Bombyx mori: one gene and its partner. The protein of the gene in region 2 purifies or fractionates together with the protein of the main gene of each other region. This does not show direct contact. Links are inferred from orthologs where the notes say so. Each region holds a gene or a part of one and is shown on either strand. Other genes may lie near its edges. The genes, in order: zinc finger matrin-type protein 2 and exportin-6.

Region 1 (3,669 bases), on a different chromosome or scaffold from region 2:
CCCCAATCGATTACAGCCTCAAATAAATCATCTTCAACTCTTTTTATATCTATATCATTTTTATAATAGTATGGGGAAAAGTCTTTTCTCATTATAGTAGGTAGGTATGTATGAACTTGTAATAAAATCTCTTTGGTTATACTATTTGTATCTGGCTGGTTTTGGAATAATTAAAGGTTTAAAATTTTAAAAAAGACAATTCCAAATTCAAATTAAGAAAATGTGTGATTTTTATTTGTTTTTCGTACTGTCAAGATTAGGGAATCTAATGAAGAAAATCGATACATTTAAAAAGTTTACTACAAAAAAGGTAAAAATGCAACGTAGGCCGCGAAAAAAAATTGCGATGTTTATGGACCTAGTGCTGTGTCTGTGAAAGTAGCACAAAATTGGTTTAAGCGTTTTCAATACGAAATTTTTATTTTAAGAATTTGTACGTCGCTCTAATCGAATCTTTTTGAAAAAGTGAAAGTGACTGATCGCATCTTTTTGAAAAAGTAAAGCAAGATCGGCATATCAGTAGTTACGACGTAGCTGAAGAACTGGGAATTGACTACAAAACAGCTTTGGCTCATTTGAAAAAAAATAGATACACAAAAAAGTTCGATATTTGGGTACCTCACGAGCTCACTGAAAGAAACCTAATGAACCGTGTACTCATTTGTGATTCTTTATTACGACGTAATGAAACCGAACCATGTTTGAAGAAGCTGATAACTGGTGATGAAAAGTGGATCACGCACGACAAGAACGTACGAAAAAAGTCGTGGTCAAAGGTCCGTCAGGCTTCACAGACTGTGGCAAAACCTGGGTTAACTTGCAACAAGGTGATGCTGTTTGTGTAGTGGAATTGGAAGGACATTATTCATTATGAGCTGTTACCACCAGGCAAGACCATTGATTCTGAACTCTACTGCGAACAACTGATGAGATTAAAGGAAGAAGTTGAGAGAAAGTGGCCAGAATTAATCAACAGAAGGAGTGTGGCTTTTCATCATGATAACAATGTGACCTTACACATCTTTAGCCATTCAGCAAAAATTAAGAGAGCTTGACTGGAAGATGTTAATGCATCCGCTGTTTATCCGTATATCCGTCCTGACCTTGCACCTTCAGGTTTCCACCTGTTTCGGTTCTTCAGAATTCTTTAGGCAGTGTCAGATTAACATCACGAGAGGACTGCCAAAACCAATTGTCTCGGTATTTTGATCAGAAGCCCCAAATTTTTTATAGCAATGGGATCATGTCCCTATTTACAAAATGGCAAAAAGCTATCGAACAAAATGATACCTACATACTTAAGTTAAATGTAAATAAACTATTAAAAAAATTTGTTAATTTTCTTAAAAAATGCGAAGAAACTTTTTCCCCAACCTATTATATTAATTTTCATGTAACTGAATATATAAAAGATTAGGCTGTATAATATATATATGCTTTCGCCTTTCTTGTTAGAAAATGGAAATACTACAACTAATCATTTGTCAGTTTTGTCACTGCTAGTTGTCAATTAGAAACATTTCGTTTGTGTTGTTAAGGATGATTTTCTCGTGTTATTTTTTTAATAGATCTAATTGATTACTCTTCCCTCTGGGTACACGTTTAATATAAAACAAACAAGTGGAGTGTGTAAGAAAATCATAACTTGTAATTGTTGTGAAATAAATACTATAAAATTTAAACATGAGTATGCGCCCCGATGACCACCGAAGAAAATGGGACAAAGAGGAATTCGAGAAAATTGCAGCCGAGCGTTTGAAAGCAGAGCTAGAAGAAGAAGAAAAATCCAAGAAGAAAGGTAAAATATTTGTGTCAACACACTTTGTTACGTTAAAATACAAATTTGACACAATATATAAATGTTTGTTTAATTTTCATTTTCCAGCCACTCCAGTCAAACGTGAACTTCTCAAACAACGTGAATATAAAGTAGATTTGGACTCGAGACTCGGGAAGAGTGTAGTAATCAATAAGAATACGCCAACGTCCCAATCTGGAGGATATTATTGTAATGTTTGTGACTGTGTTGTTAAAGATTCAATAAATTTCCTTGATCACATCAATGGTAAAAAACATCAGAGGAATCTGGGAATGTCCATGAAAATAGAAAGGAGCAGCTTAGATCAGGTGAGCTTACTTTTTCACATGTATGTATATGCATAGTACCAAGCAGGTAAATAGGATTGTTGACTTGCTACTAGATTTATGGTCTGAGATCATCAATTGGCCACTGTTGCATCAAAATAATAACAAACATCATGAACCAACGCTATTATTTTTGTGATTGCCTGAGTTGAGCAAACCTACCATCCCACTCAACTAGAGCACTCAATATTAAAATAATTCTCAACAAATTCTTTCAATCTTAATTTTATCAAGTTCTAATGCTATTGTTAAGGAATAATAAATGTAAAATGTTCAACCAAATAGATGATTTAAATTTCTAGACCACTAATTTGAAATAATCTATCTAACTCATCTAGCTGTTCTCAATTTTATAAATACCATTCAGGTTTTAATAATATTTATTCTATTCTATCATAGCTACTACTACTACATTATATTTGTTTGGTTCCAGGTAAAAGCAAGATTTGCACTCAATAAACGAAAGTTGGAAGAGAAAAAGCGTGAATATGAATTAGACACAAGATTAAAGGAAGCCGCTGAAGAAGAAGCTCGTGTGAAAGAGCTACGTAGGGAGAGACGTCGGGACAAGAAACGGAAGTTAATGGAGAATGATGAAATAGATGATACACCAGCACCTTCTGAATTAGCACAAATTATGGGGTTTTCTGGCTTTGGAGGATCTAAAAAATGATATGTTTTAAAATGTAAAGCTTATATTAATAAATACTGTGTGGTACAATAATGTTTCATTGAATGTTTTAATTATTATTTGGCTAATAATTCTATTTGCCCTGACCTTGTTTTATCAAGGTATAATTATGAACTTTGATTTAGCAGACAGGATAATATTACCATATTTATTTGGAAAAGGCTAGAAAAAACGACACCATGTAAATGTAACATGTTCCAAATGCTTTTTCCAATTAAAAAATATAAATTATAAGGCTACAATGTCCACTACCGGACTTGGTATGAGGGCATGTTTTTCATGTGCTAGATGAAAGCTTTTCACTGACTCCAGTAGTCCTGTATATGTCAAAACTCACATCAACTTTAGTTTTTGGGATTTGGGATTTTGGGATATGTAAATCGCACGTGACTACTTTGACTGACTGACTTTTCGAGGACAATAAACAATTCAACAACAAAATCAGTTGGCTGGGCGTTAAAAGAGCGCTCATCTCTCTACTCTAAGTCGTTTCTGTTGAGTCTGGGCTAAGATAACGATCTCGCCCAAATCTATAAATTAAAATAAGACATGACTTAAAGGTCTTAGTCACCAGGTCATAAAATACCTTAAAAAAAGAATTTTATATAATACTTTTTGGCGGGAACGCGAGGCGTGAAGTTGTGTGATTTGTTTTATTTTGTGTTTCTTCGGGTTTAAATGTGTAATAATGGTGGTTTATTAACTGTTTAATATCTGTGAAAGTGCACAAATGTGGGAAAATGAAACAAAGCCGTTGGACGTAATTTCTCGGGATCCTCAAAAAAGTCCACTGAAAAAATCTTAGTAAGTGACCACCATTTTACTCAGATTAT
Region 2 (3,833 bases):
AAAATTTTTTTTTGCACTTACATATTACATCTTACCCCGACGTATCCTATATATGTATTTATTTATATACGAAATTCGGTAGGCGTCCCGCTTTGACACGAAAAAAAAAAAAGGTCACGTTACTCATGTCTCAAGGCGAACACATGAGCCGGTCCATCCATTGCGGTAGGCAGGCTTGGCTCTGCCCCTGGCATTGCTGATGAATTCCATGGGCGACGGTAACCACTCACCATCAGGTGTGCCGTATGCTCGTCTGCCTACAAGGGCAATAAAAAAAATATCTATGTAGTACAATACGTAAACTCACTTTATGATAGAGTTTCCACTTGCTGTTGAGCGTCTCGAGCGTCGCAATGTTGAGCTTGAGCAGCTCTATGTCGGGCAGCAGCAGGGCGCGCCCGAGCGCAGACAGCGCGCCGCGGAACTCGTCCGCGCGCCGCCCCCCCTCCGCCGTGTCGCACTTGTGCGGGAAGAAGTATCGCCACCGATGAATTAATACGCTACAACAAAACCTATCCATCACTACATAGTACAAAAGAAAGTCGCTTTCTCTGTCCCTATAAAAAAAATACATTTTTAAAAATACATTTATACCGCATTTACGAGATCGTGAAAGTTTCAATTAAAATTAACGTTTTTTTTTATTTATTTTTTAATTTTAAACGTTCACGCATCTATATATATGTATATTTTTTATTGCTTAGATGAGTAGACGAGCTCACAGCCCACCTAGTTTTAAGTGGTTACTGGCGCCCATAGACATCTACAACGTAAATGCGCCACCCATCTTGAGATATAAGTTCTAAGGTTTCAAGTATATGTAGTTACAACGGCTGCCCTACCCTTCAAACCGAAACGCATTACTGCTTCACGGCAGAAATAGGCAAGGTGGTGGTACCTACCCGCGCGGACTCACAAGAGGCCCTACCAGCAGTGTGTTGTTGCCCCCACCTGGCTAGCAGCGCGTGCGCGGCCCGCGCGAGGTCCGGCGCCAGGTGCGAGGCGCGCGGCAGCACGTGGCGGTGCAGCAGCTCGAGCACCACGTCCACGCGCACGCCGCCGCCGCCCGCCTCCACGCCCAGCCGCACGCACTGCACCAGCCGCTCCAGGCTGCCCTCCGTGCCGCCCCTGCAAGCGCACAACCACAACAACCTTACTACTACCGACCGAACCAACCTAATATCACAAAGCTGAGCCGCGGCCTTTTTATCTCCACTGTGTTAGTATAATATATTGTAATAGTGTTATGTAGTGGGATAGTCAGTATATCTATATCTTATTTATAAGTTTCACTTCTACCGTGTGTGACTTGCACACACACACACTTTTTTTCATACGAAGTATTATTGTAAAGGTAAATGCGAAACCTCATTATTTCCATACTAACTATGGTAAGCTTAGGCCCCTTTTGCGTTGACGTCCTCATATATCATTGTAGGAATAACGACGAAAGGGAAGATCTTCAACCGAGCAGGTAATTGTTCGGTGGACCGACGGTCCGAATATTGTTGTTCGGAACTTGTATACAGGGGGGTGCAACTCCCATACAAAGGAAAATAACATACAACTAGCGTCATCTTACTCCTGTGGCGACGTCATTTTTGTAACTTTTAGGCATTAATGATCTAATAAACTCACTAGATGGCAGATATGAGTTCTGACTCAATAAAAAATGTAGCGTACTTTGAAGCAGTGCTTCCACTTTTAGGGAATTCTCCCTTTTTTAGGGAAAAATAGCTGATATTTTGGATGATAAAGACAATTTAAAAAATACCAGGATTTAGGATATTTCGGGGTAAAAAGCAAAGCCTATACTAGTAACTGTTGTGAATTTTAAAATAAACGATAATTAAAGTAAAACAATGAACATTTTATTTTATGGAGAGAGAATGACATTAAGTCGAGTTGACAAGTAAAAGAATAAAACAGAGTTGTGTATAAAAACTATAAAGGTTTGATTCAACAGTAACCCTCTAGTAAAGTAAATCATAGATTAAGCCACTGCTTTTTCTTAGGGATTCCCCAGAATCCCAATAAGTATAATCCGCCAAATTTTTATTTACCTATTTTCGTTGATGTCACCAGAACTTACTTGTATTGTAATATACAGGTACTTCATGTACCATGAAAGATTATCATGGTAATTTCATTTACGAAAACCTTGTAATTGTCATTTCACTTTTGCTAGCAGTTCCTTCTTCAAAGACTGAGGTGGAAAGATTATTCAGTGTTCTCAAATTTAAAAACTGACAAAAGAAACAGGCTTTCTAATGAAACCCTGAACGGCTTGCTTCATAGAAAGTTCCCAACTTTGCCAGCAAACAATTGCTCAATTTTAGAACCGAACAGTGTTAGGTTGTGCAGCAAAAGAATATAAAAGCAATGCGTCGACTTCCTTGAAAATTCTAATCCTATAGATCTATGTTCTTCTGGGGGCGTTTATATTATATATACCTACATTAAATAATATGCTGTGGTTTATTTTCTGTATTTTATTTACGCTTTCTATATAAAGGATTTATGAAAGTTGTCTAGGAAATTTTAGGGTAAATTCAAAAGAAACTAGGGTAAAATGTGTTAAAAAAAACGTAAGTGGAAACACTGCTTTGAAGTTTTCAAAATTCCAGGGCCGTAAAACAATCTCAAAAAAAAAAAAAGTTTTCAAAATGTCGTAACGATTTAATTTTTTAAATCGTTTTTTTTTGGTCTTGGTGTGAGTTATTTTACGTTGTAGTATTAATTTAGAGCAACTTTTAGCTTTATGAGAATATTAGACGATTAGACATTGAGAAACTCTGTTTTGAATTCTCTTTAGACATAACTTGGCTCCAATACTTTTTTCTTCGTTAGCGTTTCGTAAGCCTGTGTAACTATTTTCATTTCTTACAGAATGTTTATTATTAAAAATCAGCATGCCTCGAAGATCGAAAATGAAATGCTATTTCGGATGCCTTGATAACGGTGAGTTTACACTATTTTCCCGGTATATTATTTGCTAACAGAATTATTATTCATAATATAATTAAATGAATTAGCACCAACTAATGGTCCTTCCTATTTCTGCTGCCTAGCTATCATATATGTTAAGTTTTGATCAAAACAGTCGGTATTAAGTCTCGTACTATCACACACACACCTCAGATAATAAAATTGTCTCGAGTGGGTGGAAGTATTTATGTTTTGCAACTCAGCGTATTATATGCTTATTGTCAAGTGGGCCCGAACTAGTTTTTTGGAATGATCAATCAGTCATGCTTTCCTGTTTAAATAAAATACAGCACAATTGATCTCACATCCAAAGTTAGATGATGGCATTCACGTTTTGTTTCCTGGTGTTTGATAACTAAGTTACACCAAGTGGCCTGTGACCACGTTCATCCTTCTACCCAATATAAAATAATGTTTTTATTTTTGTAGACAAAGGTTTGATAATGACAAAATTTTATGGAAAAATTATAAGGAGCACTAAAATGTCTGAAACATGAAAAGATTGATGCACTATATTTGAACCAGAACGTGTTATGTAATATATTAATTTGTAAGTAAGATTACATTAACACTAAATTTTTCATGGTCGTATTTTTTCAATATTTGTTACATACTTAAGATACTTTGTTTCTCCGTTTCAGAAGAGAAACTGATTCAGCAAGGAATGTGAACTCTCAAGGGATCTTAATTTTTTTTAAATATGTTTATAATTGATAAATTAATAATTGAAATAGTTCATAAGAACTAAATTGATGCCAATTTTGTTTTAAAATAGGTTGTTTAGTTCTTATAGTTATAGTATTACGTTTGAATAGTTGTAATTAGTAAGTTAGTAATATATGAAA

The links.
Region 1: the proteins of exportin-6 (region 2) and zinc finger matrin-type protein 2 purify together in Homo sapiens (co-immunoprecipitation; 3 studies listed by BioGRID and IntAct, with this or other methods). This does not show direct contact. The link is inferred for Bombyx mori from reciprocal best matches to the Homo sapiens genes XPO6 and ZMAT2.

What each region holds. Positions count from the first base shown.
Region 1 is NC_085128.1:9,737,734-9,741,402, reverse strand, and holds zinc finger matrin-type protein 2, read left to right. Parts: upstream 1-1,480; 5' UTR 1,481-1,683; coding exon 1,684-1,798; intron 1,799-1,885; coding exon 1,886-2,127; intron 2,128-2,578; coding exon 2,579-2,818; 3' UTR 2,819-2,869; downstream 2,870-3,669. UniProt on the Homo sapiens protein: Involved in pre-mRNA splicing as a component of the spliceosome.
Region 2 is NC_085114.1:10,453,299-10,457,131, forward strand, and holds part of exportin-6, read right to left. Parts: exon of another isoform or gene 3,630-3,833; intron 3,539-3,629; exon of another isoform or gene 3,418-3,538; intron 2,962-3,417; exon of another isoform or gene 1,310-2,961; intron 1,129-1,309; coding exon 952-1,128; intron 501-951; coding exon 308-500; intron 1-307. UniProt on the Homo sapiens protein: Mediates the nuclear export of actin and profilin-actin complexes in somatic cells.